2 linked regions of the Lepisosteus oculatus genome follow. The protein of the gene in region 2 purifies or fractionates together with the protein of the main gene of each other region. This does not show direct contact. Links are inferred from orthologs where the notes say so. Each region holds a gene or a part of one and is shown on either strand. Other genes may lie near its edges.

Region 1 (10,716 bases), on a different chromosome or scaffold from region 2:
TTAAGAAATGCCCTAGAAATCAGTGAGTATGTTTGTGACCTTTCCCTGCAGCATATCAGATCAGAACAGAAACAGAAACGATTCCAGGATCCCTCTCTCTCTCGGACATGACACAAATCGGCCTTTATACCCCAAACTCCCAATCAAGCTGAGATCACTGGCTTACTCTGTGCTCTTGCATTTTTTTTGCCCTTTCTTTGAAAAAGCCAAAGACACTTATGAGGAAATGGAACTGAATTGTTTGTACTTTTTCAAGCAAAGGATTACAGTAAAGTACAATGGATCCGATCCAATATACCACCCCCATATAATGCAACTGGCCAGTTGCCAGCTGGAACAAACGACCAAGTTCATTATCTCACTAGATTTTATGGTAGGAAATTTAGGTACACCGCAGACACTCAACATCCAAATAGGGTTTTTTCTGTTTGTTTTGTTTTAGTCTGGTGAGCTGAGCTGTGTCAGTTCGTATGTTAAATATTTAACCACAGCTGCTTCTAAACAGCACAATAGTCCATCTAATTAGTCTGCAGTGTTCTCCAACAAAAAATATTAAAAGGCATCACACCTTTAGAGGAGCTGTGAATGCTGTTCCTAAGATCACGCACAAATAAAAAAAAAACTACACAGAAAAACAAAGGCAACAAATGATGATCCAATATCAAGTGTATTTGACTTTCTTTATCACACAGCAGGGTCTTTGAGAATAAGCAAGACTTTCACGTATCCCTTCAATGTGGGCAACGCTGAAAAAAAGTGGCCTTTCCTCAATGAAAATAGAAATTCCAATAAAATAATCTGTAAACCCGTCAGATAACCGTGGCTTTAAAGGAGAAACAAACTTTAGGAATAAAATTGAATTGGGACAAACAGACTTGTCATTTCACAGATGCAGATGGGACATTAACTCCCCCAGTTATGCCCCTGCACTAAGACTCGAATGTAGGATATATAACACAGTGCCACAGGACCCTTAACCTGATTCCTTAACCCCTGTAACAAAATAACTCCAATGACTTCTGGCCTAGAACAGAAGCCCCACTCCTCTTGCTGTGGGAATTTGGAATTCCTGTTTGTAAACATTTACATTTTGTTTGTATGACAGACCACCGAGTGCTCTGCCACCATCACACCCCCTAGTACTCATTTCCCAAAAGCAGAAGTAGTGAGGGGGAGAGGAGGGGAGAGGGGAGATGAGATGGGGGGGTGTTGTGGGGGGGGGAGGGAGTCAGTGAATGTGAACCATTGTTAGAGCATATTATGTTTCGACCACAATACTCCTATCCCTGCTTCATCAACTCCATTCAAGTGTAACAGTTCATGCAAATGAATGTGCTTGCCTTTCATTAGAAAGGGGAGGGGGGGGGGGTCTTTATTTGATTGGTTTTATTTTGGGGAGGAGGGAAAAGCACTCTGCCCTGATCCCACTACCCACCCCTGTTCACAGACTTAATCCCCCTCTAACCCTGCAGATACAATTGGACTTCTGTCCTCAAGCTGGTAGCAGAGAGCTCAATGTAAAAGTCAGGGTTACATGGGCAACAAAGCAGTTAGAAGCTAAATAGATGTGAAGATGTGAGGGAGAAGTCCCATACTATGTGTTTGTGTTGTGTGCTGGGATGTGAAGTACAGCCAAGAATTCCACGGCCAACATACACGACACTGTTTATCCGGGTATCTCCCATTCCAAATGAAACAAAAGCATTCTCAAAGAAATTAGCATTGCAAACTAGAAAATGTTGATTGTGTGAATACACTGAACACAAGAAAGATGCTAGGTATTGCTTCTGCTTTAAGAAAAAACTTATCTTTAGCCACACTTGGACAGAAACTGACCACAAGTTATTACTCACACTTTTTCTGAAGCGCAGTTAGATTATCAGAGAGTATATGTGCCTGCTGATCTGTACCACAGTCGCTGCTATAGAAACCGCTGAAGTGAACTGTACAAAACAGTCAGAAAACACTCAGAGCGCAATTTCCTTGGCCCTGAAAGTGGTCACTTTGCAAAATAAAAACAAACCTCTTTCTCAGAACATAATCAGGGGGCCCTACTCCCACCCCCCAGGCCTTCTCTTCAGAGAATACAATAATAAAACCAGAACAGTTATGTTTTCTTATCGTAGACTTCCAAAACAGACATGGTAATCCTTAAAAATATAAGACACAGTGGTCCTAGTGTTGCAGGTAGCTAAAAAACCTGAACTTTTGAAAAGCATATGCTTCTCATTCTGAGAAAGTTCTTCATTCTGTCTCTTAAATGTGATATTTGATTCTTTCAAATGTGTAGCTAATTAAATGCAGACACATATCTTGTTTGGCTTACATATGTCAGATACTGTGAAGTATGCAAAAGAAATAAAAAGTAAATATGTTGTTCTTTTATCGTCGCCTTAGTGGACTGTTTTGGCATTTAAAAAAAAAATCAGCTTACACATACAGAAACTTTTAAGGACATTAATGGTGTTTTATGTCTTCTGTAAGTTTTTAAAACATTTTTTGTGGCTGAAACATTGACGTTTTATTTTCCCCTCGGACAATAGAGAGAACACAATAAAATGAGAAAATCACGGGATTCTGGGATTCTACAGTCAAATAGAGGGTTATGTGGGGCAAATAACCTCTGTGAGCTATCTATTCACCACGTTGTGTTAAACTAACACCGAGGTTCAGGACTTTCACCGAGCCCTCGTGGCAGACACAACATTTGGCATCTTTCCCACCAAAAAGCACCGCTGTTGACCACCCTCCGTGAATCCAACCTTTGCTAAGTAGCACATCATTAAGCGGGGATGGGCCCGTCATTAAAAACACATTCACCTCCGAATACCTGAGATTCCGATGTTAAACATTTTCACATTTTCAAAACATCGCAAAAGGGCGAAAGGCAATGCAGAACTCGGAGAAGAGGGAGAGGAGTAAGCGGGCAACAGTAGCACCTTGCAGAGGGAGGGTGAAAGTGGTATTTTTTCCATGCGAAGCGTTTTCAATGAAAATCTCCGTTGGTGTTCCTGATATAACATAACCAGCTGTCAATCCTCTTATCTCTTGAAATCTATGGAAAACCCAAACAAACTGTGCTTCAAGAAGAATCAAACTCTGATTATTATTAAAGGCTACTATTAGAATACATTCATTAATGCATACTTCTTCATATCAGATAGGCGTCTGTGTTTACCGCGGATTTGAACACTCTAAGAATACGAATGCGCATAAGAAGACTTTCACACCTACTAAGACAGGCTACTACACAAGCAAATAATGGCTTTATAACCGTAAAGGCGTTTAGTTATTCTTCGTAGCTAATTAGTAGCCATATGTTAACTTTAAATTAGGTCATTTCAGTTGTCGCCCGAATCTTACTGCTTCATCCGTTTCCCATTGAAACGTCATGAATGGTTACATAGTACGCATTTGTTTTTCAATGTTTTGGATTTTCAGTACCTAACAAAAAACAAAAATACTCAAAGTGACAACTGTTTGTTACATTTGATAATGAACTTCACCACAGCTTGCGCCAGCACACACTTTTAATGTTGTCAAGTGACCGCGCTAGGTGTTACGGTGTCCCGCAAAAACAACATCCCGACTCGCACCCGTCCCGGTGGCCAACGGCGAAATATCTTTTTTGCACAAATGACGAGAAATGATTTAAGCCCCCATGGTTTGATTCTTCTCGGCTAAAGCGACGAACACAGCACATCGGACCCATGCACTACGCGAGGAACGTGGAAGCCTCCGACGAGAAAAAAAAAGTAATACATTCCGTCTAGCAGGAAGAGCTGAAGTTCTGCACTGCGGTGCAGTATTGTTATTTAGTTAGGAACATTTCTTGATACGACTAAAAAAGCATTAGTCACATACATTTCGTGAATTAAGCTTCAGGTGAACATTTCGGCGCACTCGATCGGTATAATCGGACCAAGCTGTCCCGTAAACCCCGTACGGCTCCATGCACACCAACACGCAGCTCCCTGTCACAGCCCTTCAGTGCAAAAGGTCCGAGCATTTAACACGCCGAAACTTACCCTTGAGGCTTTCCTCTTGTATTTGTTCGCGAAGTCGAATTTCTCTTTAATTTCGTCTAAAAGCTGCCCGAGGCGCGCCTTCTCCTCTTTGCCCGTGTAATCCTGGCTGAGGAGGATGTATGCCCTCCAATTGGCGGAGTCGAAACCCCAGTGGCATGTCCTGTTTTCCAAGGATTTGTGACTGTGGACCACGAACTTGTGGGTCGGGTACATGAGCCTACAGTCCATGCACTGTATACAGGCTGCGTTCGGGCTCGTGTACAGCTCGGGCACGAAAAGTCCCCTGCACTTCCCGAAGCACTCGTGGTATACCTTGAAGCTTTTCTCCGTCAGCTCCAGCTCCAGGGAGCCGGAGAACTCCTTTTTGCAGTGCGGTGGAAAGGTACCCCCGTAAATCAGGGCATTACAGAGGCGCTCCGCATCCGTTTTGGTGATGAGGCCGCACGAAGGTGCCGAGAAGGGCAAAATCCCCATGACTTTAAGAATCTCCAGCTGGTCCGCCGTGCACCTGGAGCAGTAGATGTGGAGCTCGTCACACACGGAGTTGATCTGCTGAAGGGAGAAATCTCGCAGGACGGTGTTGAGGATCTGGGGCAGACAGAGCCGCTTCTCTCCGCCGACTACGAAACAAGAGATAGTCTCACTCTCCAGGACCGTCTCGCACCTTTCCGTGGAGCGGTCTGACGGGATGAAGAGGGGACCCGGCATCACAGGGGGCGGCTGCATAGGGAGATGAAGGACCGGCTCTGGGTCCTTGCCATCTTTCTTGTACAGCATATCCTGTTGCCATCTAGCTGAGAAGGCTGCCGGGCCGCCGAGAGAGCTCATAGAACTCAGATGAAACTGCTTCAGAGTTTGTTGCAGTCCTGGATGAGGTTGAAAGCTTGGTCGGGTTACAGTCTCCATGTTTTACTTACTACTTGAAAAGCGAAACTTCCTTTTGCCGGGGTAGAACTAAAGCAATAGATAACCCACACTGGTCCCGGTTCCTTGTAAATCCAAGGTCTCCCAGAGTTAGCAGAGGTGAAAAGGCGCTTCATCAAACATCCAGAAAGAAGTCCTACACAGTGCGCGTCCAATCCCCCGACTAAGCGTACGGTAACACCGGCGAGTCTTCCCCTGCAGTAGTAGGTTCCCTACTGTCCATATCCACACCAGTGCTTCTTTCTCAATCCACAATAAAGAAAAAAATAAGCGCCTCTCGCTTCCACAAAAAGTATCCACCTATACTTCTGAACTTTGTTTTTCAGAATTTCCCAAAACTGTAAAGTCCGTACACTCTTTGCCTCTCTTTTTCGTTTCTGTTTTGCAGTGGTAGAATTCACATCCACACTGTCTGCCCTTGCAGTAATGATATGCCTGTGCAACTACAGCCAGCCAGCCAACCTAGCTAGGCTTGCTTGCTCACTCTCTCTCTCTCTCCCTCTCCCTCGCAGCCCCCCTTTCTCAGTGTTTGTGTGTGTCTGGCTCAGTCATTGAATCCCAGCCAAGTATGTGACTGACTCCCCAGGCTGGCTCTTCCAAGAACATGTCGTCACTCCCCCTCTTCTCTTCTCAGCCCCGTGCTGCTGCAAAAGGAAGGAAAAAAAAGAGACTTGAGCACAGGGCATGGTGAATCACTTGGTTCACAGCTCAGAATGTCTGCAGCTAAACCGAGAGGAAGGGTGGAGTTTGCAACAGACGTCTAATTTAGACGTTAAGGAGAAATGCAAATTCTACGAGTGACTGCGGTTTATTTATTTTTATTTAAATAGACCAAAGTAGTCCTTTACAAACATTTAGTGACAGAAAGTAAAGCAATAAAGTCTGATGTTTGTCACATACAAGAATTTTATTTTTTTTAAAGTCGTGCTTACATATTTTTTTTCGTTTTGTTTAATCAGTTCCAGTGCTCAGTAGGTTCTATGTTCAAAGCGCTCTTAAACATTAAGGACACACGCGTGTAACGCAGAGGGGGAATCTTGGCCGATTTTTGTTTAATATTTTTTGCACGAGGCTGCTCCACCAATTTTCCACATCTTCTAGGTCTGCTAGTTCTGAACAAACCATTTTATTTAGTTGCAAAGTCCCTTCATGATGATCATGGTAAACTACGGGGGCTCATTTTGATCTTCAGGGCTTCATGAACCCCTGGCTTTTTTCAGACCCCTCGAATCTGAACACAGACCAGACAGTGCAGCAAAACACAAGGCGTATCAGCGTTTTTACATTCAAGGAAAACAGAGATTTTATTTCTGGATGTCTGTGCTTAGTGTGTACTGCAGTCTCAGCATGCACTTGCCCTATCGGACTGTAAACTGCAAATGCATTTGCACTCAAGGCATGTCTAACAATACTTTCCTTGCGGAGATTCTCCTTTGCTCCAGAGATTCTTCCAAAATGCTCCTGCAAAAAGCCACAAATAGAGCCGGAGTTCACAGAAAACCCTGTCTTGCCCCAGAGCTCCTATATGTGGTTGCAGGGAACAGAACTTTTTTGAGGTGGCACACCTTTGACTTCAACTGCCCTGGACTAACCATTCCTGATGACTTCTGATCATCACGGGGGGGCATGGAAATGATTCCCTGATATCAACAGCTGTTGACCATTCCGAAAAGGAGAAAGGATGCCTGCCTTTCTTCAAATCAGAGTGAAGAATGTAACTTAAAACATAAGTCCCCCCACCTACCACAGCACACACACACATACACATGTATCTTCAAGGCCAGCTTAGGAACACACATGGACTCTAAACTTCTGAACCAGAGAATGAAAATGGTGGGTGTTTGCACTTTTATAAGACCAATCCACCCACACATTCCTATTCATCTGAAACCAAGAAGAATTTGTTTGACTAAATACCTCCTAAGTCCTTTAATGGCTTAAAGTTTGGTACAGTTCCTTAAAGAATTCTTTATTTTGGAAAGGGCCTGGTGTTATTGTTATCATGCTCCTCGTTCTTTTTTTTTTTTAAATTGAGTTCTCTGTTATTGTTCTTGCTTCTTTTATTGTGTCTCATGGCCCTCCCCAAGTAGAGTTATGAACACCATAGCTAAGGCAGTCACAATGTACATTGATATGTGTCGCCTTTTCTTACCCGTCCAGTTTTACGAGTTACACAAAAAGGGGGTCACAGCAAGCATGGTCAAATAAAGCCTTAGAGCTGAAAGGTTTTAAAACCTGGATTTTGTCAAAGACACACTCGACTACCTGGGTGGACTGGGTGATGGATCGTGTTCATGAACTGCCCCAGAACAACTTGATTCAGGAGTTGCCCTTCCTGATGTGCTGATTATTGCAGTGGGGGGCTAATCTTATAATTAAATAGCATTTCTAGTGCTGTTTCATTTAAAGGATATGATTACACAAAAATACAAAACCGTGTCATCTCAGGATTTTTTCTTGGTTTTTAGGTATACCTTTATCACTTGAAAAGATTTTTATGCAATTAACAAGTGCTGCTATTTCTCAGATGAATGTAATCAATTTCAAAACTTTATGTGATAGTAATACATTAGAGTACATGTTCTGAGCTTTATTAAATCTACAATGTACAATTAAGGGAAATAATTAATACTGAACACATTCACACTTATAGCCTATTTTGTGCATGTGTTACCAAAAAAAACATGTAGAACATTTCTTTCAATTAATATTTTTAATGAAATAAAAGTGTTAAAGAGTTTGTAAGAAAAGTATTACCTTTTAATTAGATTTTAAAGCTTCACAACAACAAAACCATAAAAATGTCTGAGAAAAAATGCATTCCAATTTCCTCTATGCAGTGAAATCATTCCTTTCAGCCAGTTACACTGGAAATATGTCCAATTGTCAGAGACAATAAGTGGGATTGAGAAGCTAAACTGATTATTCTGTATCATTAGCTCCCTCTAGCAGGACAGTGATGTAATTGCACTGTCTGTGGCACTGGGACAGTCATTATGAGGAAATGGGGTCACCATGTCTAGTCAGGAAATACAGAGTGGGAGGAGTATATGGAGACAGATCCATATTGTAGTAGCACAGTAGGTTGATAAGGTACATTTATTTTTTATCAGGAACATTTTGTTGAGCTTCAAATGAAAATGCGCCTGTATAAATTCAAGTCATGTTTTGCCAGATTTGTCTTTTTCGGATATTTCAGGTGACACTGCTAAGCACTGCGCCATCATGCTGCCCCAAAATGAATATTAGTATTATTGATTTTTGTTACGATTGTACTGTTTTCACACATCCATATATAAATGATTGAGATAGCACATTTTATTGGGCGAAATAGTACATATTTCAGCTAAAGATTCTCATGACATTGTTTCTCATAACAAGATGTAAGTCACCACATGTTAATTTGTTCCTTCATTTAGTGATTACAATGTGCTTGAAAATGGTATTTTTATTAACATTGCACATGGAAGGCAACAGCAATAAAAACAAGCTTTGCAACCTCGTGGAATTTTTCATTTCATAAAGTGTACATTATTATGAAAATACTAAGAGAGACATACCCAGCAGAACACTGGGATTCACAATTCTCACATATCCTTTCACGAAAAGATAAACCCCTAATGGATAAGAAGAGTTAGAATCAGAAAAACCTCTGTTGCTTGGGACCACAACTTCAAACCAACTGGGGGGAAAATCCAAGCTGATATCTGTGGAGACTTCACATCTAAAATCTCGGATGTATTGCTTGATTCACATGAACTCATCACCCGCGAATAATACCCGTCAGCAATTATTATTAAAGGAGTGGGTTTCTTCACAGCGGTATATATATAGTAGGTCCCTGCTGAATGGATTTTATTAAAGAGAAAATAAATCCTGGTCAAAGGAACTATCATATTTTCTTCCTTTGTTCTTTTATCCGATATTTTATTGAAAACATCAAATGGCCTCCAAGCATTGTGTAAAACCGATGCAGAAGTGCTCCCAATTACTTAATAGAGGATAGTTTCTTGAATTGGAGCAAAGGAATAATTTTCCTGATGATAATGGTGATAATATTGTATGTTTCCCAAGGATCTAATGGGTCTTTACAGGCAGAAGAGGACTGTATCCACCACAGAAGTGTAGCTATCCCCTGTTAAATGGCAGCCAATTGACAGAGTTCCAACAAATTTATTAGCCAATTAAATCACATGTGGAAATTTAAGGGGTCGGGAATACAAAGATACTAGTATACGGATATCAAAAGCACCAGCTCTAGGCATTGAAATATCAAAGAACATAAGTTTATTAGTAAGGTTATAAATGAGAGGAGGCCATTTAGCACTTCGTTTCATTTGGTTGATATCAGTTAATTGACCCAAGGATCACTTTTGGGCTTTTCTTTGATGAAGCCACGTTATCAGCTTTGTCAGCCCTTCTGGGTTGCTTTTTCCAAATGTCCATATACAAAACATGTCCTCTATTCTCAGTTTTAAACACACATTCCCTGTGTGTTCCAAATGTTCCACTGTTGATTCTGAAGAAGTCCATTCAGTTTACTTTATCAATGTTTTTGAGAATAAAAATAGGGTTCTCCCATAGTCCACTCTGCTCACCACTAAAATGATGAACTTCTCTTACCCTGTCAGTATAGAACAATCCACACTAGAATACATGGGAATGTATTTGGTTGCACATCTCTGGACTGATTCCCAAGCAGAAATATCCCAGCTCTTCCAATTAATTCTTCTTCATTTAATTAATCATGGCGAAACTTCACCAAATACACCACAAATGTCTAAATACACCACATTGTTGTTTGTATCCATTAAAGCTGTTGTCTGTTGTGAAAACTCTTAACAGGATCTTGTTAAGCAAGATCTTTCTTTAAAAAATCCTGTTTCCTATCTAAAATTCTATTGCAATGAAGACGTTTGATCTAATAGTTTCTGTAACCTTACATCTAATAGAAGTTAAGGCTTATTGGTCTATAATTACTTGATTCAATTTTTATTACTCTTTTTATGCATGGATGCTGTATTAGCAATTTTCCAGTTAATGAATATTATACTATGTCTGTCTCGAGTGACTGTTGGTGTTTTTTTAACAGCAACATCTTTGTTCAGAAGTACAAATTGGGGAATACCATTAATTTCTAGAGAAATATTAAATGAGTGAAGTTCTCATTTTATACATAGTTTATTTCCCTGGCATTGTCTAACGTTGTTTGCTGCAATTGTACTGAAAACTCTCCGCTGCAATATTCTTTTCTATCAGTCTCTTGACCTTTCTACCATTTTAAAGCTGTTTGGAGTTCATTACATTACTTTTCTTTAACCAGATACTGCGATTTTTAATTACTTTATACAGATCTTTCTTTCCCCTTATATTTTTCTTAACTGATTTCGTAATCCATTTGGGTCACTGCTTACAAGACTTTGATTTACATACTAATGAGACGTGTTATGTGCTTCAAGCAGAAATCCTAATGTTGCCATCCATTATCTACTGATTCCTTCCCTAATCCCATCTACTTCTCTAAAAGCTCTGTCTCATTACTTCATAGTCTGCTTACCTGAAATTGTAAACCTTATTTTAGACTTCACCTCTACAGTTTCAAAACATATATCAGAGCAAACAATATTATGGTTAATTGCCAAATGGTTCTTTCATCTCTATTCTCTTTATTTTATCTTGAATGTTTGAAAAGATGAGATCAACTCAGGCAACGTCGTCGAGCAGGGTCTCTGGCCAATTGTGTTATAAAAGCTGTCTTTAGCCA
Region 2 (11,066 bases):
CACTGCAAGGCAAAGTGAGTGACAAATGTGACAGGCGTAGCCCCAGAACATTACAAAATGTCACGGCCAAACCCAAGAAAGTAGGACTGGAGCCACTTCTGGATGGAGTCCCACAGCTGTTTTCTGACAGCTACGCAGAAGCAGCTCCACAGGGGCAAAGGGAGAGGAGATGGACTCTATCTGCAGATTAAATAACAGTGTTTAAAACCTAGGCGTCAACACATGCATGTTTCATTCACATATGTCAGTCTTCCGATTTATGGTTAAAACACCTGCATTTCAAAATAATTCTGTGAAGCAATCACTCCATTTAACAAATATCCTACAATTTGCTTCAGTAAGTAGAAACCAAAATGCAACATTGTTCGGCAGCAGTTTCTCCATTTTCCTATCTTCGACAGCCCTGATAAACGTCTGCTGTTTCTCCTAGTATGTTTTTGAGGATGTCTGAACCCTCCTTTGTGGACTCCTCAGCCTTTTCTCGATTCTCTCCTCAGACCTGGGATCAGCGGGGTCCGGTGTGGTAGTGAAGCTGGAGGCTTCATTGGGCACATTGACCTTACTGGTACAATGAACAAAGCTCTCACTCACTTTCGTTGTGAACAACATGAAGTATACACCTTTTGAAGGAGAACAAAGACAGAGTCACACAAAAAGTATATTATCATCTTTATTCAGATTTTGTGTTATCTAGGGCAGGGTATGGTCGAGTTCCACCGAGACAAAAAACAACCACCTCAAGGAATTTAATTCAAACGTTTGATTCCTTAAATTTTAAAGTTAAGTTTGTTCACTGTTTAGAACAAGATACCATTAGAAATGCCGTATGAATTTAGTATGCTGGAGAACAGTAACATTTTGCAGCTCGTTTATTTAAACACAGGGAGCTCGTCCAATAAAAAATTGGAATTAAAATCAGACAGCGGCTAATGTTTTGCGAACTGCCAATACCCGGTGTCTGAGAAGGGGTTTGTGATACTAGACACGTTCCCATTGCAGACTGAATGAAGTACTGTTTAAAAATACAGCCACAACAGAAAAGTTAACACAGCCACACATCAACACACGCAGAAAGCCCTCAGTCCCAGGGCCATTCAACGTCTAAATTAAGCTGCGGCGGCCGCTGCCTCTCCGCCTCCTCCCTCTCCGCACGCTCCCGACTCGCACTGTTTTCCCAGATTTCACATTCACGTGCAGCCTGCTCGCGCCTCACTCAGACATTCTGTCGCCAGCCGCGTGACGTCACCCGCGCTACAGCGCACACGCTGGATTGTTTTCCTCCGCCGGCGCAACAGGGTCGTGGATAAACTAGTCCCAGAGGCAGCGAGACAGCTCGACGTTCAAGTCCATGTTGCGGGCAAGATAGGAGAGAAAGAATGCTTGAACACGCCGGGGTTTCAACAACGGCCAATGACAGGGTCTGAAATGTAACAATAGCTACGGAGATTTTCATAGCGCTGTTATCATTGTGAGTGGAGAGAGTAATTTCTAACAAAATAAAAAATGAAAGTCAGGGAGGTTTGGAGAATAAACACTTAAACGTTGGGGGTTTGTTTAATGTTTGTTTCCAAGCTCCTTAAGAGTAACGTAATGAACATAGCACGGAAAGCTGCGAACATAAAAAAACCCAAAATAATAAAGGTTTTCTTCGATGTGTAAAAAAATTACGCTTCCTTCAGTCCGAGGATCCAGCTACGTCCCTCTGAGTGCGAAGAGAAGATTGGAAATGAGTGGACCAGCCTGTCATTAAACTACAGCTCTAGGATTGGGTTATACCGTGTAACTTCGTGTGTAAAAAACTGTCCGAAACAGAAGCGTGATCATGGTCAGTCTTGAATAAGGACAATAATGACAGGCTACACGCCCCCTTACACGTGCTGCCTGGAAGTTCGAGATCGGTTCTACAGCGCGTGTTTAAAGGTTCTGGAGGATGTGGGATTTGAAGGGCTTTATTGCACATCGGAAACATTCTCTAAATTCCTCTTGTTCTAACGGTGCTCCCGAGCACAGTGTTGTAACGCACTGGGATGCAATATGAATGAGTTAGCTTATACTGTAACGTAGCTCTTCTTTCGAGTATTCGGACATAGCGAGACGTCTTCGGGCATCACGACAGCCCGATAGTGCATAATACTATACGTCGAACATCGGTCTCTTAAGCGAAGTAGACCTGCACGTTTCTTTTATTCCTTAATGACAACAATACCGTTTTCATTTGTAATGTTGTGAAATGGTTTTGTTTTCACTGCCCCTTTGGATTTGAATACAACTGTAATTCTGCGGAACACAGCTAAAACGGTTTTTAATATCCAACATTTCCAGAAGGGAAAGTTGTGTCTAATTTGCTTTGTAAAAAACGTTTTCAATTTCCATCTCAAAACCCTTTGGATTTAAGGACGCTCAATGCTCTTGTTTTTTCAGACATTAGATGAGGTTTTCTTCTCTAGCCAGCACACCTGGTAGCCAAACGTTTGCAGCTGTACTGTACGTACAACACATATACTGTACACTGATAACAGAGACAGCAGCACCTCCAAACTAATGCAACAGAAGTTTTAATGCCGAGTTAAAAATGAGACTAATCTTTACATCACATTTCGGTGTCTTAGGGAGATCAAATAATGAGTAGAACAAGATATTTCAAATGGTACTGACCACACAGAGTCTACATCACCTTTTAAATAAAGCTACATGTGACTTCAGTCCACTTCTCCTTCAAACGAGCGCTCTGCTAGCAAAGCAGCTCTCTTCAGGATCCCCCCTCAAGCAGACCACAGTGGGCACCACTCATCCTCTGCAGACCACACAGCAGACGTCGAGTCTTCAGATGACGAAAAAGCTAGCGTTCACGGCTGGGTCCGGCTGGTGGAAGGGGGATTCAGCTTTTAGCTTGATGAATGGAGGCTTGGCTGAGGCAGGACTGGTGCACAGCTGTGTGGTTGGGAAGAAGAAACCAACCTTTGGGGCTATTCCTCTCTTCTTAAAATTGACATGGTTTTCCCCTGTCATACTTATATTGTACTACATTCCAATCTGCTCCCCAAACCTCTGGAATTCTATCCCCAAGGATATCAGAGTCACCTGCCCTGAGTGCGTCTCAGTCCAGACTCCAAACGTTTCTTTTCAGAAAGACTTTAACTTAATTAGTGTCTGTGTCTTCTCCATTTTCTAACTTCTGATGCACTTCTAAACTTTTTCTTTTACGTACTTATTTTGTGATTTGCTATCCTTAAAACGTTTTTTGCACCTACTGCGAAGGCGCTATATAAAGTTAAATTTTATTATTACTTGAAATACCACGGTACAATACTCAGGCTAAACAGACTGCTTGTTACAAGCGTCGTGGTTGTGCTAGTGGCTGAGCAGGGAACTTAATTTGCAGAGAGGAACTCGGATACCTATACTGTCCTGCTTGATCTCATGGTCAAAGTGGTCAAAGTTCACGTTCTGTCAGCTTTAAACATGTGGGTGTGAAAGCCTGCAGAAGATTTCGGTGAGCTGACAGCTTCATTAATTTCTTTAGTGGGCATTGAGAGTTCTGGGTTTTCACCTTGCTGTGGTGTCAGAAATTAACACTCATGAGTGCACTCAAACCTTTGCCATCTGCCATTATGGCATCTCTGCTTTCTTGGATGGCCTGCATCACAACATTAAAATCCCTCCATTTTACAGCGACACTATGCAGGTCATGTATGAGCTCGGGCCCTTCTGACACACAAACACTGGGCAAGATGTTGTGGAAAACCAAGACAGCAGCCCAGGGATGATGCTGCACAGCCTTTGGCTGTCTTGCTAACTGTTCTCTGTGGTTGTAGCTGCTTCTTGTCCCACTCGGCTTTAAAGAAGCTTATAGAGTATCTTACTAAAGAAAGCTACAGCCATAACAATCCCTACCACCGAGGCATTGAAAGAGTGCTTCAGATAGGGAATCAGATGGTGTTCTCAAGAGGTTCTCCTTCAGTACCAGCAGTATTAAACCCTTTATCAACCGAAGATTGAGTCTGGTGTCACTGTTGAACTGTGGGTAGGCTGTCTGAGGTCCACTACAAATCCCTGTGAGGCTACTGTTGCCTTTCTCCTCTTGCCTGGGAAACTTTCTGCTGCAGCTTTTCTCCCCCTCTGTCTGCTCTCGTTTCCTTACCACAGCTCCTATTCTTGCCTTATCATAGCAGTCAGAGACCTCCCTGACCCCAGCCTACGATCTGCAGCTTCTGGGAATGCCACATGGCATTGGCCCAGCATTGGAAATGACATTGCTTTTCCGAAATGTCTCAAAATATCTTCTAGTAATGCAACACTTCAGCGAGCAATACACACCTCGGAGCACAGAAAACTCTGGAAGTGCCAGTCATTCCCACAGCAGTCTCAATTACACAGAACATGATCTGCCCGTGGGCGGCATGGTGGAGCAGTGGCTAGTGCTGCTGCCTCACAGTGCCTCACAGTGCCTCACAGTGCCGGGGCCCAGGGATCAATTCTCAGCCTGGGGTGCTGTCTATGTGGAGTTTGTACGTTACTTATCTATAATAACTACTTAACATCGTTATCTGATAATATACTGTGTTCATGAAGCAAAATACGATCAAAAGTTTAATTGCAATGGGTCATTAGTGTTCTGTCTCCACAAAAGTTACAGTGAGAGAGCTATCAGTAACTGCATCATTGAGCAGTGCTTCGATTTGATGTCATTGATATCATTAATAGTAGACGTGATTGTAGCAGTCATTGTATCAAATATTAAAAGTACATTTTATTTTACATGTAAATGCCTAAAGGGCAGAGATAGGTTAAACTCAGGGGGCTACTTTTACTTAGTTCAGTTGTGAAACAAGGACATGGATACAAAATCAGAGGCTAAAAGGCTAAATTCATTTAGGGTGGACTGAGAAACAGTAAACACTTCCTTACACAAAGAGTTGTTAAAAGGTGGAAGAGGAATCCTAGACAGGGGCTGAGACACAAACTCAAGAAACAGCAGGATGAGATAACTGGATCAACTAGCTACCAACTACTAAATGGCCTGGATGACCTCTCTTGTTTGCAGATGTCCTAATGCTCCTAACGCTGCAGGCGTGAAGAACACAATTTGTTTTTAATTCAATGTTCTGTGCAATATTACCCATGTAATACAGAGATCAGAGGTAAAATGAAAGAATGGAGAAACGAGCACAGATTGATTTGGAACATGTTCCTCTTCAACAATTAAGTAAAATCTCAGATTAAGATTTCAGATTACGCTCAATTGAAACACGCAGGGCTTCACGTGTGAGCAGGAGAGCCTTTAAAATCCAGTCATTTCCGTGCGAGCCAGTTCTCTTCACAGAGGGCAGGAGCTACACTATGATCCGGAGTATCTTCAATTAGCACACACAAAATTCCCGATGCATTCAAACAGCTCTTTAATAGTTAGCCCAGGTTGGCAGGTCAGTGGTTTTATCTGACTGATTTTAACCAGTTTTAAAGAGAGCTATTCCTAAAACATTTCTAAGAGGTGCTTCAAATGCAAATGGTTGAACTGTCATTCCCACTTAAAACTTCCTTTGATTTTGGGGCTGACAGGCTGTGGCTGGAGACGTTCACCTTGGCACTATAGTAGGCCTCTGCTGTGTCTTCTGCCTCTTGAGAGATGTACTGTACATCTTGCTCAAATAACACACCAGTCAGCACTACCGACTTTTTCTTCCCCAAGACCAGACCAGATGTGTTTCACGCTGAAAGGAACATTGGTATTGAAGCCCGAATGTTGCGCCCTGTCCAACAATACATGCGTGACGGACAGAGTGTAAGATTATTTTTTTAAACGAATAATTCCAGGATGAATTAAGACGTGTCTGTCGGCGATTCTGCTTGTATTACATGCATAAAGTAGCTTCTAACCAGGCAAAAGTGTTCTATGTAGCACTGTACGGTATAGGATACCAGTTCACAGTATAATGCTCTTGTGAAAATATGCACTAGTAGCTACAGGACGTTTTCTAACTTCTGTTGAAAAGGTCGGCGCAATCGGACATTTTTTAACTGGCAAGAGATTCTCACTTGACAGCCAAGCGTCCTCCTCAAATCACCAAATGTCAGGGCGGCGAGTACCCCGTCCAGTTAATAAAAAGCCAGCTGCGAAGCACAACCAACCGCGTCTCCCAGTATTGCACAGCAACCGAGATCCTCTTCTTATTTGACACACGGAAGGCACGGGGGGAGTAGAGAGGACTCAATTTTCCCCGGTGAGCGGGGCGGGTTATTTTGAGACGGCCCCTAGCCGCGCAGCCCCGCGGCATGATACAGAGCGCGGCGCGGAGGGTGCGGTGGTCCTCGACTCGCTGACGCCAGGGACGCGAGATCAATCCAGGCAGCGGTGCGCGCGAGCTGCGCGGCGGCAGAAGTTTCGCTCTTCCCAGTGTCGGAGCTGAAGAGCCGCGGACGGGCGGCCGGTGGAGACGCGGAAAACTTTTCTCTCTCTTTTTTTGTTTAACGTGAGTGGCTTTGTTTTTTTTTTGGTGGATTCTGCTTTTTAGTTGGCTTTTAGATTTAACCCCTGTTAATAAATGTGTGTTTTTCGCTTGTCTCTCTCTGAAACGAGAGCTCGTACCTTTATTCTCAGGTTTGCCAGTAACTGCGTTTTAAACCCGTGTCATCCGTTTGTTTTGAAGTGCCGTTCGCCAGCCGACATGCTGCTTTTAAAATTGGTGTATTGGTACAGGGGCAGCGGTCGTGTGTTATTATGTGAAGTTGTCAGATGTTGAAATGTGTTGCCGTTAAAGGTTTAGTTTGCTGTATTTAGCGTGCTGGGGTCTGTATTAGACGACAGCCCGAAACGTTGTCACCCCCTTTTTCCTCGTTTGAAAACTGGAATTGAGTCTTTGGGTGATGTTTTTTTCGGTAGTTCTGTGGTATTCAAATGTGTGATTAGCTAGATTTTGTTAGCCAAGCTGATGAAAAGTTCATTCTAACTGTAAAAGGGTTAAGGGTGATTCTTCATTTGGATTGACACACGAGTTTCTCGGCTCATTAAAATCTTTCAGAACATTTTCAAAAAGTGTGTGTGTGGGGTGGGGTGACAATGCAGACAAGCAAATGAAGACTCCTATGAATGCTCTGTAGATTTAGTTTAGTGTAGTATGGACCTGTCAGAAGCGATGTCTGAACGTTTCCATTGTCGTCTTGGTGCCTTGACGTCATTACCCGGTCGGGATCCGGGCGAACTCGCCCTGTTTCCCGGAGCTCGAGTGGGCTCGGACGCGCTTCCAAGCGCTCGTGGACTTCGCGTGAAAGGGACACGGAGCCGCCGTCCGTGCAATTCGATGCCGTTTAAGATCGTTAAAAAACAAAACAAAACCCGGGCACTTGGAATTGGGGAAAAAAAAAAAGAAATCGCGAAGAGGAAAGGGCTTTGATCATCTCGCCCAGCCTGGGTGTGAGCGCAGGGGTCCCCGCTCCGGCACGAGACGCTTCGGGGATGCTCTTGGACGCACAAAGACCCGGGAACACATCTCGCTGTCTTCGGGGAGAGATCGGATGACCCAGAGGGCAGGCATTCGTCCTTGCGTTTGATTTGATTCTTTGCTGTACATCTTTGACGTCTGGGAGCGCTTTTTTTTTTTAGCGGCAGCTCTCTCTCTGTCGAGGAGTAAAAGCAAATCTGCAGGTACACTGTGGGGGGAAAAAGACTTGCAGACCCTTTTTATGTTTTCCAATAGTTCAGATACGTTCGCTGCATCATTTTAGCACCCCTTGAAGGATTAAATAACCATTGATTTTACGTTTTTCTGACTTCCCTTAAGTTTTTGTTTACCTGCGCGCTTTGCTGTATTCGCCCCTTTTCTATTAGGGTGATCTCTCTGGGTTGATGATGGTGATCAGTTGGAGTGATTTTCCAGATTGTTCCGGTTGAGTTTCTGGGGAGTGTGTGGGAAAGGCGGCCTGCAGGTGGTTTTGTGCCCAGATTGCGGAGTTCACGGCGGTGCTGTGGATTCTGAATGTCAACTCCGAAACCAGAGTGCAGAACCTTCCTACATACTGCGAACGTTTCTGCGTGCTCAAAAATGTTTCTCTTCAATTAAACTTTGTCATTAAACTTACACAGGTGCATAGTATAATGAAAAGTGTTTCTCATTAGTCACTCAGGTGCAGTATATAAATAGGACAGAAGATAAGACAATAGACAGTTACACAATAGCAATAACAGTAACATGTAATAACATAACATAAATAACATGTAATCAAAACTGTGCAAAATTCCGCAAACATAAAATCTAACAGGACAAAAACAGTGCAAGGTAATTTTTGGAACAGTGCAAAAATAGTATGGTTAATAATAGTATGGTTAATTAATAAATATTAAATATTATTATGACCGGTACAGTTTTACTGGGCTATCGAGGGGACAGTACAATTTCGGCTTACATGTGTGTGTAGTGGTGTAGGAGTACAGTGGTTGTGGGTACAGGAAGATGTTAGGAGAGATCATAATATGGTGGGAGGGAGTGGGGGCGTCACCAACTTGACAGCTCTGGGGAAGAAGCTATTTTGGAGTCTAGTTGTGTGCGACTGGATTGACCGGAACCTCCTGCCAGATGGTAGGGGAACAAACAAGTTATGACTGGGGTGAGTGGGGTCAGGCATAATTTTGGTGGCTTTTTACAGACTCCTGGTGTTGTAGATTTCCTGGATGAATGGTAAGACACTGCTGATGATGTGTTGGGCAGTTTTGACCACTCGCTGTAGTGCCTTACGGTCGGATGCGGTGCAGTTGCCGTACCAGACTGTGATGCAGCTGGTCAGTATGCTCTCCACCGTACATCTGTAGAAGTTGGTGAGGATCTGTGGATGTACAGCCGCTGTTGTGCCTTCTTGATGAGACTGGAGGTGTTCAGTGTCCATGTAAGGTCCTTAGAGATGTGAACACCTCTCTTTGATGTATGTGAAAAGGATTTCAGCCCTCATTCAGGAAGGTGTTAACCTTTAAGGTTTCACGTGCTCTGCCCCCTTTTTCGTTCACAGTCGACTCCTTTTTTCTGTGATTTTCGCAAAACTATACAACAATGCATCCATTACGATCTTGTGTATGTAGAATACTTTAAATAGCGTTTCATAAAGTTCCGTTTTTCTCTTGGCGTGCTGTAAAGGCAGTATCGCAATTGCTTACTTGTAAAAATAGGAATTTGTCGAAATTATCCGATACAGTCTTAACACCTCTCGAGGATAACCTCATTTTTTTTTCCTTTGGAAGAGATACTTCAAGATTTATTGCTGGTCTAAGACCAGATTCAGTCGGAAGAGGTTTAATGCGAAATTTTATCCGTATACTTAAGTGCCCATGAAATGAAGTCAGTTCTGCATTTGTTTTATAGTGCTGAGAGTGCATGATGTGCTAGTGTACTGTAGTATTATGTAAAGCGTCATGGATGGCAAACCTGGCTTTCCTCAGTATCGGGATACTCATTACAGCTCAGTTGTAAAAGGTCTCGGAAGAAGGTGCTTTTTGAGGGTAACACACTAACCTAACTAACCTCAGTACCTTATGAGCTCAGACAGCAGGAAGAGCCATTTGGCTGAATGAATGACGGTTCCACTATTCCCCTCCTCCTTGCTTCAGTGCTACAGTCCACATCTAGGAGTACAGACTCGCTCCAGCCATCCCATTGCTAGTGGAACAGTGCTAATAATAATTCCTTACACTTATATACTGCGCTTTTCTGGACACTTTACATGGGTCATGGGGACTCCCCTCAGTGCTGAGGCAAATGTCAGGTTTCAGTCGCCAGCCTGTTCTTGGGGGTTGATGTGTTATTTTTCCCACAGTGCAGAGAAGATTTGGAAAGGATCGGCCGATGTTCTTGTTGTGGGTTGCAGGGTCGTATAATGATGTGCTTACAGTTTTAGCTCTTGTTATTGGTGCTTGCTTAGCTAGGCTCCATGTAAACACTTTCATAGCAGTGAGACAAATGGCGGAGAGGCAGCGTAACGCAAATCAGTTCTGTGGCTTAAACATGCTTCTAACATCTGCGCTTCTGCCTGATGGCAGAGAGAAGCTCATTTGTGCTGAGACTAATGGAGACACCATCAAGCCTTTATAAATATTGTAAGTTCTGTGTAATGCACGGTCCCCAGAGACACGCGAGAGAGCATCATTACTGCCTCCTCAACCTGCAGGAGATCCTAAATTGATTTACAGCTCAGAACTTGTGCAAAATGATACATGGGGATGGCATGGGGGTCAGCTTGTCAGAGTCGTATGATCTGAGCCCATTAGCTTAAGCTTTGGTCATTGGAGCACATGAACAGGCCAGGAAGTCACAAGCCTCTGGCAGGAGACTGTTTTTTTTTCCCTTGAAAAAGGAAGTAAGTCTTTGTGTAAATACAGAAAATATTTTTCTAAATATTTCGGTAAACTCGTTCTTCGTCACTGATGTCTGGGGTGTTGAACTGTGGTACTGCAGGGAATGTGTACACTGTTGTGTGAGAGGGGGAGTATCATTGTTGCTGATAACATAAATTAAATTTGCAGCCAAGTGTTTAATGACTTCCACAGAACAGTCATTACTGTGTAAGTACACTCGTCTTATTGTAAAGGGCCTGGAGTGGTATCTGGGGGGAGGAGGGAGGTTGTGCCCTATAATGGAATGATTTCCGTATCTGAAAGTTCAGAAGAGTTGTGGGTCTTGAATCTGTGGAGTGCTGCCTGTCCATGTCCACTGACGTGACAATGATGGAGATCGCGTTGCTGTTTTGAGGAAATCCTGATGAGTATGCTGGCTGGATGTCATGGAAGAATGTGGCAAAAACATAGACTCTCTTTGCCAGGTGAATTCAAATAGGTGCTTTTGTAAGGTAATTGTTTAGATGTGCATCTTGTATTTTTTTGTGGCTGGAGGATTGTACTTTTAAATATTCATTTGCACAGGGTAGCACGACAGTGCAGTTGTTAGCAGTGCTGCGACCCTGGGTTCAATTCCAAACCCGGGGTGCTGTCTGTGTGGAGTTTCATGTTCTTCCATGTCATTTCCTCCCGTAGTCCACAGACATACTTAAAGGTTAATTGGCTTCTGTGAAATTGGCCCTGGTGTGTG

The links.
Region 1: the proteins of smad1 (region 2) and skia purify together in Homo sapiens (affinity purification with western blotting, with the first as the bait; 3 studies listed by BioGRID). This does not show direct contact. The link is inferred for Lepisosteus oculatus from reciprocal best matches to the Homo sapiens genes SMAD1 and SKI.

The regions. Positions count from the first base shown.
Region 1 is NC_090720.1:4,149,510-4,160,225, reverse strand, and holds the start of skia (v-ski avian sarcoma viral oncogene homolog a), read right to left. Parts: upstream 5,483-10,716; 5' UTR 4,935-5,482; coding exon 4,029-4,934; intron 1-4,028. UniProt on the Homo sapiens protein: May play a role in terminal differentiation of skeletal muscle cells but not in the determination of cells to the myogenic lineage. Functions as a repressor of TGF-beta signaling.
Region 2 is NC_090696.1:27,164,792-27,175,857, reverse strand, and holds the start of smad1 (mothers against decapentaplegic homolog 1), read left to right. Parts: upstream 1-6,221; 5' UTR 6,222-6,470; intron 6,471-8,564; exon of another isoform or gene 8,565-8,601; intron 8,602-11,066. UniProt on the Homo sapiens protein: Transcriptional modulator that plays a role in various cellular processes, including embryonic development, cell differentiation, and tissue homeostasis.